Linked DNA regions of Caenorhabditis elegans. The protein of the gene in region 4 purifies or fractionates together with the protein of the main gene of each other region. This does not show direct contact. Each region holds a gene or a part of one and is shown on either strand. Other genes may lie near its edges.

Region 1 (5,423 bases), on a different chromosome or scaffold from region 4:
AAATATTTCTGATCATTTTGTTAGTTGGACATTTGTTTTCCAGATGTGTATTTTTTGAGATACGCCAGTTTGAAAATACTCAGTTCAGAGAGTTTTGGAGGTTATTTCATTTTTAGATCGAAAGCCACACCATCAACTCCAGTGCATCCTTGTCTGACATGTCTGATACTACGGCGTCATGTTCCTATATGCTCAAAAGCAGAAAACAAGTGATTAACTCCGACTCCAAATGAATTTCTTATGTAAAATTTCATTGTTATTGATTTTACGTTCGAATCAGTCCTATCAAAATTAATATAAATTAAAACATGACTCAGCTACTACTAATTGTTGCCCGAACTGTTGTGTACAGATTGAAAGATTGTAAATATGTATACCCTTTGAATGAATGAACAAATTGAGTAGATTTGCCTTTGATATAGTGCAAGGGTGAGCAAGGGTAGGCAATGAGAACAGGTGGTCAATGATTTTGGAGTCAATAAGTATTTGCCGTACCGTATGTCTTATATTTTGTCGAATCCAATCTCCCAAATTAAAAGAAAACAACTTTATCTTCAAACTACTAAAAGAATGCATTGATATTATGATATCATATAAAATTTTCAAAGAAAAACAAATTTCAAGAAATAAGAATAAAGCAAGAATGGGAGAGGCAGAAGTACATCAAAATTATAGAATAATTTAGACCAGCACGGGAGAAAAATAGAACACAGAAATGGAGAAAGAACGGAAACTGGCAAAAAACAAAAATATCCTGTTTGTAGAAGGGGGACCCAGTAAAATTTTTAGACAAAATTTGAGCATTAATTAAAAAAACAATCAAAGATTTAGGGATTATTCAAAAGGAACACGTGGCTTGCGAACTCTTTCCGGATAGTCCTTCTTTTCACCGCCTCGCAGCTCCTCGATTGATCGCTTTTTGTAGACTTTCCTTGGCGGTTTAGCTTCAGAGTTGCTCGGCGATGGAAAGTTCTTCGGAACCACTAGTCGGAATTGTTTGATCGCTGAGCCCTCATTGATCGGAAGAAGCTGATATTTCCAATCAGTGAACATTTGGGTCGAGATTTTTGAATTTTCTGGAGAAGGATCTTCCGATTTTGTTTCAATATTATTGTTCAACGCTGGACTCGCCGGGACGTCATCCTTCTCCTTGGATCCTCCGATTCGCTTCCTGTGTCCAGTTTTCTTGGGCCGGATTTTTTGATTTTTCTTCTTCGGTGGAGTTTGGCTACAAAAATAGGTATTTAATTTATTTTAAATATAACTGTTAAACCTTGTCAAACGTTTTCTCACCATTTTTTGAACTTTGATTTTATTTGTTTTTATGGGATTTTTCGACCTGACTGTCCCATAATTTATAATTAATATTACTTTTTGGCTGAAAAAAAATTTTCAAAAATTGCCTTAAATTATATAGAAAATAGTTTGCTATGAGTGAATAACTGTTCAAAAAATTAATAATTTTTTCTGAATTTTTCATAAGGTTTAGGCTAACGATTAGGCTTGGGCTTGGGCTTAGGCTTAAGCTTTGGCTTAGGCTGAGATGGGGGAGGGAAAGAGATATTCCCAGAAATTCCTAAATATTCAGAAAAAAAAAATAAACATAAATATTTGAAAGCGATAAAAAATAAGGAAAACGAGATATTCCTAACTATATGTCGGGTCAAAAAATCCGTCAAAAACGGCAGAAAAGGTATCAAAATTTACCTGATTTTTGATGGAAAATATTAGAAAAAAAGACTACTATACTGCTAACTTTTGGTAATTTTTAGTTTAAAAAATACTGGAAATTTTATTATAATTTTTTCCTAATTTCCAAAATCCCAAAAAAACATTTGGTATAGAGAACCAAATCTAACCGAATAATGCTGATATTGCTCGACTTCATTTTCTCTTCACGTGCTTTCAGCTCCTCTTTTGTCGGAAAATCTGGATGCTCAAGTCGCCAATTTCCACCAATCCCATTCTTCTCGCTGTAGTAGAAATCGACAAGCGTTTTGGTGTCCACGGATTTTTTGAGCTGAAAAATTTCAAATTTCAAATTTCAAATTTTAAGAATCAAAAAAATTTCAAATTTTGAGAATCAAAAAAATTTCAAATTTTAAGAATCAATGTAAGTACTGACCATTTTCGAGAGATAAAACTTTTTGAACGGTTTATTCTTCATTGCCCTCGCCTCCCGCTCAATCGGAATATTTGCCACGAACATGTCCTTCACCGCATCTGACATCAAATCGGGAGCAGCCATCTCTTGAGCCATAGCTATAGTCGCATCAACATCATAGTTGCAGCTTGCCAAAACTTTCAGAACCTGAAAATTTCGAATTAAGCTTTCCAGAAAAATTAGGGAAAAAGCGCTCACTATGTCAAATGACAAGTGCGTTGTTTCCTGTTTGAGCCGGCTCTCGTCCTGCTGGGAAAGTGTAGTGTGCAATGGGAATACGTATGGTGCATCGCAATCGTCGTCTTGAAAAGGTTTTCTAATCTCGAAATCCGGAATGTCCGCGCAACCACTAGAAAAAAGGATAAGTGAAAATTACTTTTTTTGAATTTCGAGCGAAAACATTTGTTCTTTTTTCTCCCCCGGCGCCGCCTAAACCTAAGCCTAAGTTTAAGTCTAAGCTTGAGCCTAAGCCTAATAATAAGCCTAAGCTAACACCTAGGTCTAGGTCTAAGCCTAAGCCTAGACCCAAGCCTAGACCTACGCCTAAGCGTAGGTATAAGCCAGGCCTATGCCTAAACGAATGCTTAAGCTCAAACCTAGGCTTCAGCCCAAGCCTAAGCCTAGGTCTAAGCCTAAGCCAAAGCCGAAGCCGAAGCTTAAACCTAAGCCTAGGCTTAAGCCTATGCCTAAGCCTAAGTTTAAACCTAGGCCTCAGCCCAAGCCTAAGTCTAGGTCTAAGCCTAAGCCAAAGCCGAAGCTTAAGCCTAAGCCTAGGCTTATACCTAAGCCTATGCGTAAGCCTAAACCTAAGCCCAAGCTTAAGCTCAAGCCTGAGCTTAAGGATCGGCCTAAACCTAGGCCTAAACCTAAGCCTTAGCCTAAGCCTAAGCCTAAGAATAGGCCTAAGCCCAAGCTTAAGCCCCAGCCTGAGCCTAAGAATAGGCCTAAACCTAAGTGGCCGAGTTTTTTGAAAAGTTTTTTTAAATTAACTTTAAGTTTCCTAACTGTTTTGTTAAATTCAAAAATTAATAAAATTACAAAAAAATTTTAATCCAAAAAAATTTAATTTTTATGAAAATTTTCTTTAAAAGTCTATTTTATTCAGAAATTAATTTTTTAAAATTTACAATAAAATTATTATACTTGATAAATTTAGAAACCTGAATAAATAAATATTTTAATGAATTTTCCCAAAAATATTCGAATTTTCAAGATTATTTTTTGTAAACTTTAATTCTAACCCACCTTGGCTTGTGGCTCAAGTGATACGAGGTGTCTTTGTTCCATTTTGACCATTTTCTCAAATATCTGAATTTTCGTTCTTCTTTTACAGGCTCAGCCACGTTGTCATTCGCATTATCAGCAACTTTCGGCATTATTTCCATTTTTTGTCGCTAAAATTTTTTGAAATTTAGAAATTATGAATTGTCTCAATTTTCTCAACCTATTACTCAAAAAAACGGGCGAAAAAAACGCGGTAAAAGCTTAAAATTCGACGAAAATCCAAGTATTCTGAAAAAAAATGAACAGGCACGCGAGAGAGTGTGCGCAGTGTGGTGAACGGTGTGCAAGAGCGTGGGGAATGAGGAGACGCAGACACAAAAACAGACACACACTTTGAAAGCGGTTGTGAGAAGGGGGACGAAATGAGGAGGGAGAAGAAATGAGAAAACAAAATCTTTGAATATTTGTTGAAACATTGAAATTTTGATGATAATTCAAATTCAATTTTGCGGGAAAATAATTGTGGCTCACAGGCAAAAATCGATAATAGGATTTTTTTTGTTAATGATCAAAATGTGTTCCTCAGCCCAAAATATCTGACAATCCATGTGAGACCTGCGAGTTAAATTTATGTGGAGACATTTAACAGATGCTAGGAAAAAAAAATGTTTTTTAAATGTAAAGGTGTGACAGAAAACGTTCTCAAATATATTATAACAGTAAAAATTTATTAAAAAATTTTAATGATTAAAAGTTTTTTTTTTTAAAAGACCGAATTATTTGTAAATTTCTGAAACATCGGTTGTCATATTTTCTGACGTTTTTATTAACAAAACTTGATAACTGGTAAAAAATGCACTAAAACTTCAAATTTCAACACTTTTTGCAAAAAAAAAATGTGATAAGTTATGTTTAACATTGCAAAACAAAATAATAACTTATTACCCAAAAACATGAAGATCACGCGTGAATTCAAAATTAAAAAAATAATTCCAGCCACTTGATTTTTTTTTGCAAAATTAGAAAAATATTAAATTTAGATAATTTTTTTAAATTTTTTTAAGAGTCATATTTGGTGCATTTTCGATCATTCAAGGAGCTTGAACGAAAAACAGTTTGAAAAAATAATTTATTTTAATAAAAACATCTTATGTGTTAAACACAATTGTGAAACATTGTACAATACGGGTGAGGAAAACAGAAATGACGAAATCATTAGATTAAACACAATAGGCGGTCCCCGCTGCACATTTTCTCATTGCCCACAACTTGGTACATTATTCCAGGTGCACATTAGATCGATCACTTAGCCATCTACCAAGTTTGTACAGAACATGTGTTACGTACATATCTAATATACAACTAACGGAAACCTGTAATGAAAAATTTAAAAAGTCCAATTTGAATTACTGAAGACAGATCCAATATACCGAAAATAATTGTGAAAATAAATTTAAAACTTTTTCTAAATAAAATTTTTTTTTCAATTTTACAACAAAAAAAAGCTAGCAAAATCATAATTATTTTCGACTTTCCGGCTAAATTATATATCTAGTTTTGTTTCATTTGATTTGAAATATTCATCAAAACAGATAGCTGAAACTCTGAAATTGGCATGTGGAAAATTTACATTTATTAAAATTTGAAAAATGAAAGTTTCTGAAAATTAAAAAACGGTGATTCACGTTTTATTTTAATTGAATCATTTGAAAAAATCAAAAAATTTAGCTAGAAAACATAAAAATGTAAAAAAAAAGAAAGAAAAAAAAAAAAATAAAATTCGGGAAAATTAATAACCGTTTTTTACACTTTTATATTTTTACATATTTGGTCGAAGTTTAAGCCAATTTTTCAGTTTTAGTGAATTTATTACGGAATTTATTTCTTTTTCAGAATTTCTTTTATTATAGTTTTCACATCTGCATATTTCCGTCACCAGACTAAACTCATCATTGACGAGTTCTCTACATTAGTACATGTATAGTATACTGGCTTTTATCTTATTAGTGCATCTAATTCATTATACGGTCTCGTG
Region 2 (4,860 bases), on a different chromosome or scaffold from region 4:
AGCTGAATCATTCGATTTTAGAATCAGCATGCTTTTATTCATATTTTAGGATCTTTTTAAAAAATCTGGACCAACAGTTTTCGAAAAAATTTAATTTTTGTTCAGAAATGTGAATATTCACTAAATCGAAAAAAATAATTGCAAAATCCGTCAGCTGAACATTCAAAACTTATCAATTTGAAATCAGCATATTTCAGTGTATAATTAAAAAAGTTTCAAAAATTCTGAGACCAATTTTTATTGAGAAAAATAATTTTTCGCTCGAATTATTGAATTTTCACTAAATGCAAAAAACAGTAAACTTGGGCCCATGCTACAAGCCTGAATCTTTCAAATTAAGAACCAGCATGATTTTTTCAATATTCTAGGACGTTTAAAAAAAATCTGGACCAACAGTTTTTGAGGAACGTAATTTTTTATACAAAAATGTTCTGATTTTTCACTAAACTCAAAAAAATAGTCAAGTTGGGCCCATGCTGTACACCTAAATCATTAAAATTCAGAACCGCCATGTATTTTTTCTTACCAAAGGCTCTTTAAAAAAAATCTGGACCAACAGTTTTTGAGATATTTAGAAAAACAACTCACTTTTCGACGTTTTTCGCCTTTTCGTGGCTCACCCGGTTGATTTTTGCGGCGATTTGTGGTCTTTCGCTGAAAATATTATTTTTATTTCAATTATTAACGAAGAAAACAAGAAAAAACGACGAGAAAACATCAAAAAAACGCGAAAAAACATCGAAAAACCACCGCAACCTCATGAACAAAAAAAAAGCATTGCAGCCGCGGGACTAGTTTTCGCAACTTTCTAGGCCATGTCCCGTTCGCCGTGCCGTGTATTTGTTTAATTCCCTTTTTGGAAAAAGTCAACATATTTTTCTAACAAATCGTTTTTCTATTAATTTTTTTCTAAAACTCACAATCAACAGATCACTTTTTGCATTGCAATTCTCACAATATCCCGACGGAACCCTCTCCAAATGATTGACCTCTTTGAATAGTTCATCATAAGTGTCGGTTTCATTCAAATGCACATTAATCATTGTTTTATAGTTTTGCACTTTTTTCGTGTTGTAATAGTATTGGATAATGGAAGAAAGCGAGCGTTGGGGCATCTGCAAAAAATAATGAAATTTATTTTCTTTTTATGATTAAATTAAATTTTCAAAAATTCCCTTTTTTTGACATATGCACTTACAGCCGCATGAATCTTCTTGAACCGTTTTCCGAAATGAAAGAAGCAAGTGGAGAAAAGACTAATTTCTTCTGCCGTCCAATCATCATGAATTTCTTTTCTTCTCATCGCTTGAACCATCGCAGCGTCGAAATCATTTGACTGTTTGTTCAGAATGAACAGAGCCTGTAAAAGCAGTTAGTTTTTTTTTCAAATTCAAAGTACATTTCCGAAAAATAAAAAAAAGGCTTGATTTTTTAAAATCTCGAATTTTTATTATGGTCAATTGTTATTTTTTCCAGAGAAAAACTCATTTTCTCCCAATTTTCAGACGTTTCTCTCTAAATTTGGTGTTTTTCCAATCGTACCCTATCTATAGGTAATTGATATCGTCCAGTAGCTTCTGAAATGTATTCTGTAAGCCGATTCTCGTTCATTTCGTCTGGAAACGCCCAAATTTGTTGATCTCTGCACGGTTCTTTTTCCAATTGCTCTGCAGTTGGCTGTATAATCGCCTGATATTCGGTTCCCACGTGGATTAGATTGTCGACGTTGGAAAGTGGATTTGCTGGAAGAAATTGGGAATTTTTCAAGGTTTTAAGTGGATTTTCAAGCTATTTATAAAAGCATGAAAAAGCTCAGAAATGACTATAAAACCTTTTTTTACGTCGTATTTTTTTCAATGAAATTACCTACTTTTAATTAATTGTTCGGCTTAAAACCAGAAAATTGTTTCATATCGATTTTCCCGGTGAAAATCGAAGGAATCGTCGCATTCTCAAAGTTTTTTCACCGATTTGTTTCAATTTTAGCACAACTAAATGGAAAAATCACAAAAATTCCATTACAGCCGATTTTCGTGAATTTTCCTACATTTCGAACTAAAAATTGTCCTTTCTTCTGTTTAAACCGGAAATTCTCTTTTGAAAAACCAATGAAAATTTGAATTTTCTGGGCTTTTCTTCGGAAAATTATTCTCGAAATTTATCAATCGATCCTTGGGCTTTTTTTGTTCCGCAGAGGCTGGCGGAGTTTACAAGCGTACGAAGTGGTTCAACTTTTATATAAAGCTTTATAAATGGGACATAGATGAATATTTCGAATGCTAAATGCAAAAAGAATCAGTAAAAAAGCGCGCAGCCCCGTCCTTCTCTGACGAAAAACGCCGTTTAAGGATCGATTGCTAAATTTTGGCAGTAGTTAGAAGTGTCAAAATTTCTGCCGGAGAGTCGTCAAATTTCACTGAAACGTAACCCGGTAATTTCCACAATTAATGGTCGATTTTTCGCAAAAAGTGGTATGTTTGTCAGGATTTATTAGAAATTGTGGCTGTCCAGATTTTAAAGAGTATTTTTGGGCAAAAATGTCGAATTTTCTCTGAAAAAGTTCGATTTTTATCGAAAATTCAGATTTTTTAGATAGTTTTCATCGATTTTCCCAGTTTTCAGCCTGAGAACTTTACTAACAGAAAGATGTGTCATGAGCACCACTTTCATGATGCTCACGAGCTTCAGCTTCTTCATCTTCGTCCTCTTCATCCTCCAAATCTTCATCCTCATCGCCCATTGATTCCCCAGACGTTGTTTCGCGTTTTCTCATGGATCTTATAGGACGAGCCATCTGAAGTTTCAATTTTAGCTTTTAAATTCAATTTTACCGCTTAAAAATCGATAATTCTCCCGTACTCTGCTGGTTTCTTCTTCTTGTTCCGCCTGCTCCTCTGGATCATCTTCCTCCATTGGCTCCGGCGATGCATTCAACATATTCAAGCCTTCGTCTGAAATATCTGGCCAATTTATAGAAAAACCGACAAAATAATAAGCCTCACTTTCTTTTCGAGAGGCGTCTTCGTCAGATGACGTGTACGAATCCATTTTCTGGAATTTGAGGATTTTTGAATGTTTTTAAACAAACTTTATAGAGAAAACATTCGAAACACTAGAAGTTATGTTGAAACACGAGAAAATTTTTTAAAAATCCATGAGAAAAACAGTTTTGAAAAATCTGTTTTTGGAGGCTCTCCGGATTTTGAGGAATCGTCACCCCGGAGACGCAGATTCTCCGGTAATTTTTCATTCATATTTGAGTTTAAGAACAAAACAGTTTAAAAAAATGTTTTTAGTATTTGAATGAAACTTATAATGTATTTTTTCTTCCATTAAAACTTAAAAAAAACTACAAAATTATTATGAATCAAATTTGAAACCGTGAATCAATCTCCGCGGAAGGGCGAGTCTATACTGCTGCAAGCGCACTCTATCGCAAATGTACAATTGGCGGTTTTTCAAACAGGAATTAATCGGATTCTCGTAGTTTATTTTGGATTTCTTTTTTCGGGAACATATTGGTGTTTTTGCGTTCAATATTCAAATTTAGAGGAAAACTGCTTCAAATATTTAGGTAAACTCTTGAAACCGCTGAAAATAGGCAAAAATAATTATTTTTGTATTTTTTAGGCTACTTTCTATACTTTTGCGTAAATACTATAGTTTTTCTATAAAACACCCATTAAAATTATTTTTATAAAATGATTTTTCCAATAAAAATAAAATGCGCAAAATGATTCTTTTCCAGAATCCTATATGCGCCTTTAAAATCTCTCGGATTACTGTAGTTTCAAAGAAATTATCCTTTATATTTTTAATTTTAAATTTTTTCCTGAATGTCAAATATTAGGGGAAAAATTATAATAATATGTGCTTTATTCATATGAGTGTAGAATTAGTGAAAAAGAAAAAAAACATGTATGGACTGTAAAATTGGAATTTTAGCGAGAAAATAAAAATAATATGCAGAAAAAATTAAAATTTTCAGGAAAAAAGTCAGTAAAGCCATCAAAAACTACTCGATTTTGAAGGAAATCAGCAAGAAAAATTAGAAAAAAGTATTTTTAAGTTGGAAAACCCCTGCTTGAATTTGTACACTAAATTGGGCATAAAAGCGTACAAATTCGCAAAAACCGGTAAAAATCTGGGGATCGTGATGGATGGAGTGTTTTGTGAAAAAATGCAGCGAAAAATTGAGTAGACAATTTCAAAAATGTCGATTTTTGAAATTTGTGACGAAAAAATTGAACAAAAACTGTTTTTTTTTGGAATTTTCAACAAGAAGTTTTATAAATTTTTTTGTTTAAAATTTTGAATATTATATGAGTTTGGTTTCACTTAACAGAACAATTCGAACAAAAGTATTCTAGAAAGGAAATGTGCGCTCCAGCACACTATTTGCCCGTGGAGCGCACTTGTGTGCACGAACGCTAGCGAGAATGTGTGGTAGAAAGGGAGGGAATAGGAAATATTAACAAAATTGGGCAAAATATGTAAGATTCGGAGAAAGAATTGGAGAAAAATATGTATTTCGAGCTCCGCGAGCTGATCAATCCAAAGGCTTTCTCCATCCTTTTTTCGAGAGGCACATTGCATTATAGTTACACACAGCACGTGTATAATGGAACATTGAAGCCTGGAAACGAGCCATCGCTACCATCATTACCACGTGGATCTGAAAAAATTAAAGTTTGATGATTCGAAAATTTTCTGGAAAAGTTATGATTGTGAGATAAATTGAATTCTTTGAAAAATCAAAATTCAAAAGCTTGTAGAAAATTTTATATATTTTTTTAAGCGTATTTTTTCCGTATACATTTCCAAATTTTTTTGTTACCCAATTTTAAAGATTTTCTTGAA
Region 3 (3,509 bases), 1.2 Mb from region 4:
AAAAACTACTTTACCGCTTCGACTATAAATTTAAAAACATTATTTTTTTACAATTTCTTTCTTGAATAACTTGATATTATATATTTGCCAGAATAAATTCCATATAAAGAAACCTCTCTATTCCCTTTTCCCTGCCGAAATAATCCATATTGCCTTAATTGTCGGAAATCCCTTTTCTTTGTTTCCAACCCGTTCAATTTCTTCATCGACTATTCGCTTCTATAAAACGAACATGTCTTTGTTGCGCTCTTTACGCCCTCCTCTTCTTACACAATATTTTCTTCTCCTCTTTTTTCTCAAGAAGCGGCCACCCAGCCACCCACCGCGCATTGGTGTGTGACGACTTCACGATTGCGCAGTGTTGGCACGCGGCCAACAGTTTTCTGTTAATCACACCACTGTTGGCACATCGCCAACAGTCAGCCAACTCAACAATGATCAACGTGACTTTCGATTTGCCTAAATTTCAATTCCGCCCATAACCATTCTAAGAAAAGAGCCGTGAAATCTGAAATTTTAAGAAAAAAAAATAAGCCGAACACAGTTTTAAATTTTACAATGTTTATTGAAGACGTTGAACGTCAAATTATCAAATTTGATGAATGAGATAAATAATTATACCAGCATGAAGATTGTAAGAACACGGAGAACTTACAGGGAAGAAATTGGAAACAACATAGGACACTAGCGTAGTTCTATGTGTCATTGGGGATTGGGAATGAGGAGATCCGATAAGTTAGATGATAGAAGACAGAGGTAGGAACATATTAGAAGGGGAAAAGGCAGATTATTTAGGCCTTGGCGGCTGGCTTGGCGGCCTTCTTGGCAGCTGGCTTGGCGATCTTCTTTGGAGCGGCCTTCTTGGCTGGAGACTTGGCGACCTTCTTGGCAGCTGGCTTGGCAACCTTCTTTGGGCTCTTGGCCTTCTTGACCTTCTTATCTCCGGTGGCGGCCTTCTTTGGCTTGGCAGCGGCTGGCTTCTTTGCCTTCTTCTCTCCAGTGGCTTTCTTGGCGGCTGCTGGTTTCTTGGCTGCTGCTGGCTTCTTGGCTGCTGCTGGCTTCTTGGCGGCGGCGGCCTTCTCTGGCACACGGAAACGTCCGTTGGCTCCGGATCCGGCGGCTTGAACAAGGGCCTTGCTGGTGACACCACGCTTGAGAGCCTGACGGAGATGAGCATTGATCTGAAATTAAAATTATAAGTTTAAAGAAATAAGAACTGTGAGATAAAATTATTCGAAATTGTTGGCAAGTTTTGACTAAGAATAATAATGAATTGAAATTTACCTGGATGACATTGTCTCCGAGCTTGTAGTTTTGGGAGATGAACTTGAGGATTGCCTGCTTGGAAGCTCCTTTGCGGTCCTTGAGCTGCTTGATGGCCTCCTTGATCATGTTGATGTATGGTGGGTGAGCGACTGGAGCCTTGGCCTTGGCAACTTTGGTTGGCTTGGCGGCCTTGGCGGCCTTAGCCTTTGGGACCTTTGGCTCGACAGCGGCGGCAACAACAGCGGAATCAGACATCGTTCGACGGCGGTTTGGTTGGTTGGGTGACACTTGAAAAGTGATGACTGTGCGAGTCCTCTCGTTCTCTTATATACCCAATTTCTACCACCCTGCGGGGACACATCCCGCCTCTCCCTTACTGCACCGAATAAGATAGCAGGTCTCGAAAGGAGGAGGTGTCGGGCGCTGACAATTTGGATACTCCGGATCAATTTTTATGAAATTTCCTGATAACATCTGATAGCTGAAGACATTATCTACATTGTGCTCAAAATTCGAGAGAAAACGATTATAAATGACCGAGTAATTGGGCCCTGAAGTCGACGCATTGGTTTTCACACGACCTGACTCTCTTCAAACACGGATATCTTTTAACAATAAAGAGATATTGAGTTGAAAATTGTTTTAATGAGTAGCCAGACACTTTTCCTACAAGAATATATAAGATACTTATCCTCCTCAAAGCATCTTCATACTGAAATTTTGAGTTTTCTGAAAATGTAACTCTAACTTCTGACTTTGACTTCGTTTTTCTCTCCAGTTTCAGTTGCAACTGTTAGTTTTTATTATATAATTAGAAAGATAAAATGCTTGGCTGTTCAGAAACCTAAAAATATTGAAAATCCATCGGCTATAACCCAAGATATACCACTTTTCATGCCGCCGGTCATGTTTGAAAACGGGGGTTGTTTTCGCCTTCGCCAGCAGTCGTTCAAAGAACACGCCATTTCAGACAACTAGAAACTGCAAAAGGTTCAAGTTTGGCTATCCAAACTATTGAACAAGCATATTAGAGTTGTTCTAACAGTACTTTAATTGGTTTTATAGTGATTTAATCAGAATTTAAGTCATTTTTCAAATCAACTTGCTATACACTTTGCCACACTTCCTCGTTGTTTTCTGCCAACAACAAGTGGTTTGTCTAGTAATATTAAGTCAGGATTTGATATGAAGATGTGATGTTTTTAAAATTGCATAATTGTGGAGATTCTACCTAAAGAATGGTCAATTGTTTGCCGATCTTTTTGAAAAAGGAAGCTGAGTCAACATTTTCAAATACGGTTTTGATGTTTAAAGGTTGTGTTTTCTCAAGGAAATTAGATAGGAAATAAGATATTCATTTTTATATTCTTAAACTGATTAGATCAAATACGAAAAGTCATATGTAAAAGTATCATGATTAAAAATATGAAACTTCATCACGGATTTATCCACTCAACAATTGTTTTTTGCTTATTTGTTGTGCTTTTGTTCTTTTTTTTTCCTTGTAGAGTTTGAACATCTAATATTCTGAGACTCAAGAAAATTAGTTTCAAAAATGTTTTAAAAGATTTAGGAAAATGTTTTTGTTATTGTATTGGATACTCAGATGCATCAAACTTCATGATGACCTAGATACATCAGGGTGTGCCAAAGATAATGGATTTTAGAACGACATACGGACTTTGAAACTGTTTAAATATTTTAAATAGTTGTTAAGTGCAATATAGTGATTTTATTTGTAGATATTTTGAGTTTAATGTGTTCTATTGCTTGTTAATTTAGTTTTGATGTGTTTATCATAACATTTGCAAATTCAATTGTATTCCAGGTATGTGTTAGGTAAGTGGAAAAGTTGTTCAGAATGTTTCTTCTGCAAAAGTTTGATTGTTTGTTATAACTCTGTGAAAATATTTTTAACAAATCGGCCAAGTTTTTTTTTTCAAATTTCAAGCAACGGCGTTTCAATAAAGCTGTCGTCTTTCCACTGACTTTTCTGTCTTTTCAATTACGATTTCTCTTTTCACAATTCTGTACTTCTCATTTCACATGCCATTCTTTCAAATTCGGAGTGCTTCTTTTAATATTCTCCACAGTTGGCACTGTGCCAAAACCACTATTCACGATTTTACTACACCCTGCCAATCAACAGAATGTGTCTGTTCTACAATTGCACCTGCCAGTGTGGTGCATCGGAGCACTCGACAATGAACCATTAATCACAGTGTACGATATGAATCTACAGG
Region 4 (3,840 bases):
TTCTTACTTTATTATATAGGTCACGACCCAAATTATTTTGAAAATTGAGCTACACGGCTGTAACTTTGGAACTATGGGTAATCATGTATGAGCTTTCAGATTTTCACATTTTCACTTGACAATATAGGTCACGACCCAAATTATTTTGAAAGGTGAGCTACACGGCTGTAACTTTGGAACTATGGGTAATCAAGTATGAGCTTTCAGATTTTCACATTTTCACTTGACAATATAGGTCACGACCCAAATTATTTTGAAAGGTGAGCTACACGGCTGTAACTTTGGAGCCATGGGTAATCAAGTATGAGCTTTCAGATTTTCAGATTTTTACTTGATTTTATAGGTCACGACCCAAATTATTTTGAAAATTGAGCTACACGGCTGTAACTTTGGAGCTATGGGTAATCGAATATGAGCTTTCCGATTTTCACATTCTTACTTTATTATATAGGTCACGACCCAAATTATTTTGAGAATTAAGCTATATGGATTTAACTTTGAAGCTATGGGTAATCAAGTATGAGCTTTCAGATTTTCAGATTTTCACTTGATTATATAGGTCATGACCCAAATTATTTTGAGAATTAAGCTATATGGATTTAACTTTGAAGCTATGGGTAATTGAGTATGAGCTTTCAGATTTTCAGATTTTCACTTGATTATATAGGTCATGACCCAAATTATTTTGAGAATTAAGCTATATGGATTTAACTTTGAAGCTATGGGTAATTGAGTACGAGCTTTCAGATTTTCACGTTTTCATTCAATTATATAGGTCACGACCCAAATTATTTTGCATCTTGAGCCGTATGGGTCTATCTTTGAAGTTAAGGGTAATTGAATTTGACTTTTCACATTTTCACACTTTCACGGTAATAAATAGGCCACGAATTAATTTAGCTTGTAAATCAAGCTATAAGTCTTCAACTTTGGGGATACGGCTCATTAAGTGTGAGCTATCAGATTTTCACGTTTTCAAGTGGTTAAATATGTCAGTAACTTATTTATGTATTTTGGAACATGGGCTAAAGGTTTGTAATTTTCGAAACAAGGGCAATCGCAGATGAGCTTCCAGATTCTCACGTTTTTTTAGATGATTTTTTTCTTCTCAAACCCCTCTCTTCTCAAAGTTTGTATCCATATGTTTCTTAATGAAACATTTTATCTACAAATGTTCGCAGTTTATGATCGTTGTTGTATTGATTGTTGTATGATTTCCAGGAAAATTGCACGAAAGTCAATTCAAATGTTACTTTTTAGCCTGTTTCATTAAGAATCTGCGCACAATTAAAAAAAGTGACTGTGAAAACTTCAGATGGTCTGGTTTTTTTTGAAATAATAGAAAAATATAGAAGAAAATCAACTTTGAGTTTCAAATACAAATTATTTTAGAAAATGGAACAGTGACCGTGAAAGAGTGCAAATTCGACTTCCGGCATCTCTTTAAATACAAGAGAGGCTAAGCAAGATGAAATAAAAAAATTTGTTTTTGTCGACAGTGGCCGCCGACATAGGTTTGCACCTTTTCACGGTCACTCTTCCATTTTCAAATCGAAAGACTTGTTGAAAACCCGGGCCTATGTCTCCCGCTTTTTTCCGTGCGCTGTACGCGTTTAGTCTGCAGTGCGGCACACTCTCTCACTCTCGTCTCCTCTTGTTTTTTTTCCACTATCGATTTTTGGTTTCAGGTGGTTTTTCGCCAAAATGTCACGTCAAAACCCTGTCCGAAGCACTCGCGGGAATTCACTCAGAGCTCGGGAAGCTCAGCAGGCACAAGATGCTCCGTTGTTTCAGGAAGTGAGTTTTTTTTAAATTTAAAATCGAGAAAAAATTGAAGGATCGGCAATATTAATGTGAAAAATATATTTCTAGTCCTCCAGCAACGTCTTCGTGGTGGAAAAAGTGTTGAATAAACGGTTGACGCGTGGCGGAAGCGAGTACTATATAAAATGGCAGGTTCGTACATTTTCGTCCTTAAAATGTTATTTGAACAATAATTTGTGCTTCAGGGATTCCCAGAGTCCGAGTGCAGTTGGGAGCCAATTGAGAACCTCCAGTGCGATAGGATGATTCAGGAATACGAGAAGGAAGCGGCAAAGGTGAGATTTTTCAAATTTATTGAGATGAAAATACATAGTAACAAAATTGCAGCGCACAACACGCAAACGTCGATATTCCCCACAACCGTCGACTTCGTCTTCTGCAGAGCTCCAACCATCTACCAGCGATGAATGGGCTGGGAAAACACTGAAGACAATTATTGGAATCACCAAGGCACCCGGAGAACTGCATTTCTTGTGCAAGTTCAGCGACGACTCTGTGCATTTGATTCCATTGAGAGAAGCCAATGTTCGGTAAATATTATCGTTTATAAAAATTTTAGTTTTTCCCTCTAAAATTAGCGACAAAAAATAATTCGGATTTGAAAGAGTCTGAAAAAGATTTAGAATGTTACAAAATTGAAAAATATGGTGAAAGTCGAAAGCTTAATATTCCTGCAAGCCTGGATTTTTCATGTTTATTAAATTTTTGTTTTTTTCTGGTATTTGACAGAAAATAAACAGGGCAATACTATAAGTTTAAAGCAAATCAAAAAATCTAAAAATGCTCACAATCGACTCTTTAACGTACTGTTAAAGTATATAAATGCATCCTAAAATTCATGAAGCTCTGCGGAACGAGCAAATTCGGCCTTCAATACGTGCTAGCAGAACAGCCAAAAATAATAGGTTATTTTTATAAATGGAAAATATGAAACCTCGAATTTCATGATGTAGTTAACATCTAAGAAAGTGCTTCTCGTACACTTAAAAGGCATTAGAAAAACTTGCCTTGAACGTAGTGTGATACTGTAATAAGTTGAGTCAAGATAAAACATTTGTCACGGCAAAGTAACTCGCCCCAAAGAACCTAAGTTGGCGCTATTCACAAGTCGCAAGGGATTTCTTGCAATATTCAAAACTTTTTAAAATATCGCTACTGCAAAGTCATCAAAAATATTAGTTTTCAATAAAGTGTGATTTTCAGTTTTCCAAGTCAAGTCATCAAATTCTACGAAACCCGTCTTGTTCTTCAAGGAGTTTCGCCAACCATCCCAGGAGGAATGAGCTAATTTAATTTCAAAAATTATATCGCACCCTCTCCCCTTCCCATAATTTGATTGTTCTCTCAGTACGTTTCGTGAATTTTCTCGCTGAGATTTCGTTGATGAAGGACTTACTCTTTGTTCGCTTCCCATTTTTCTTAACAAATTTTTGAACTTTTTATATTAAATTTTTTCACATCATTTTGTTTTTTCCTTTAATAAATTATTTAAATATTTGCTTTAGAAACAATCCTTTACCAGATAAACGAAAACGCACATTCTTCTGATTTTATGTTACCGTATCAGAAAAGAAAGATGTAGTTTCTATCTTCTCATCACGTGCTGGGATGCAAAAATGTGACAGGTTGATACATTAATACCGAAATAGTCAATAATGACCACGCTACAACGTGTTTTACAACGAAAGTATTTCTTTAAGAATTTTGTTCAGTTTTTAACAACTCATAATTTTGCTTCTAAAACAAACCTTTCTGATAATCTGACGTTGTCTTGTAAATTGGCTAGTTGTCTGAAAGCGCAACATTTCCTGAAAAGTTTAAATTGTTTATTAGAACCGTTTGATCATATAATTATTAGAGCACATTAAAAATATAAACACAGTTCTTTGTCCGTTTGAAAAAAAAATTTTGTTTGAATTGACTTATCAGATTTTTCACATTTTTAAAAAACTGATTTTATGAAGCCTAAATTTTGCAAACCTGTTTTTGTCAGAACAGTTCATTTTTGTTTTATGA

Evidence for each region.
Region 1: the proteins of hpl-1 (region 4) and T03D3.5 purify together in Caenorhabditis elegans (affinity purification with mass spectrometry, with the first as the bait; one study listed by BioGRID). This does not show direct contact.
Region 2: the proteins of hpl-1 (region 4) and rcor-1 purify together in Caenorhabditis elegans (affinity purification with mass spectrometry, with the first as the bait; one study listed by BioGRID). This does not show direct contact.
Region 3: the proteins of hpl-1 (region 4) and his-24 purify together in Caenorhabditis elegans (affinity purification with western blotting, with the first as the bait; one study listed by BioGRID). This does not show direct contact.

The regions. Positions count from the first base shown.
Region 1 is NC_003283.11:2,823,272-2,828,694, forward strand, and holds T03D3.5 (CUE domain-containing protein), read right to left. Parts: upstream 3,565-5,423; 5' UTR 3,550-3,564; coding exon 3,410-3,549; intron 2,514-3,409; coding exon 2,363-2,513; intron 2,312-2,362; coding exon 2,126-2,311; intron 2,021-2,125; coding exon 1,860-2,020; intron 1,229-1,859; coding exon 835-1,228; 3' UTR 535-834; downstream 1-534.
Region 2 is NC_003279.8:23,731-28,590, forward strand, and holds the start of rcor-1 (REST corepressor rcor-1), read right to left. Parts: upstream 3,052-4,860; 5' UTR 3,049-3,051; coding exon 3,003-3,048; intron 2,961-3,002; coding exon 2,860-2,960; intron 2,795-2,859; coding exon 2,641-2,794; intron 1,743-2,640; coding exon 1,543-1,742; intron 1,361-1,542; coding exon 1,199-1,360; intron 1,116-1,198; coding exon 921-1,115; intron 1-920. Other genes in the region: sesn-1 (Sestrin homolog), read right to left, coding at 4,550-4,675.
Region 3 is NC_003284.9:14,488,151-14,491,659, reverse strand, and holds his-24 (Histone 24), read right to left. Parts: upstream 1,567-3,509; 5' UTR 1,522-1,566; coding exon 1,285-1,521; exon of another isoform or gene 1,182-1,284; coding exon 792-1,181; 3' UTR 541-791; downstream 1-540. UniProt on the Caenorhabditis elegans protein: Histones H1 are necessary for the condensation of nucleosome chains into higher-order structures. Probably does not act as global transcriptional repressor.
Region 4 is NC_003284.9:13,243,724-13,247,563, forward strand, and holds hpl-1 (Chromobox protein homolog hpl-1), read left to right. Parts: upstream 1-1,666; 5' UTR 1,667-1,704; coding exon 1,705-1,797; intron 1,798-1,872; coding exon 1,873-1,956; intron 1,957-2,009; coding exon 2,010-2,099; intron 2,100-2,151; coding exon 2,152-2,354; intron 2,355-3,027; coding exon 3,028-3,112; 3' UTR 3,113-3,321; downstream 3,322-3,840. UniProt on the Caenorhabditis elegans protein: Seems to be involved in transcriptional silencing in heterochromatin-like complexes. Involved in epigenetic repression. Probably does not act as global transcriptional repressor. Plays a role in linking epigenetic regulation with the innate immune response.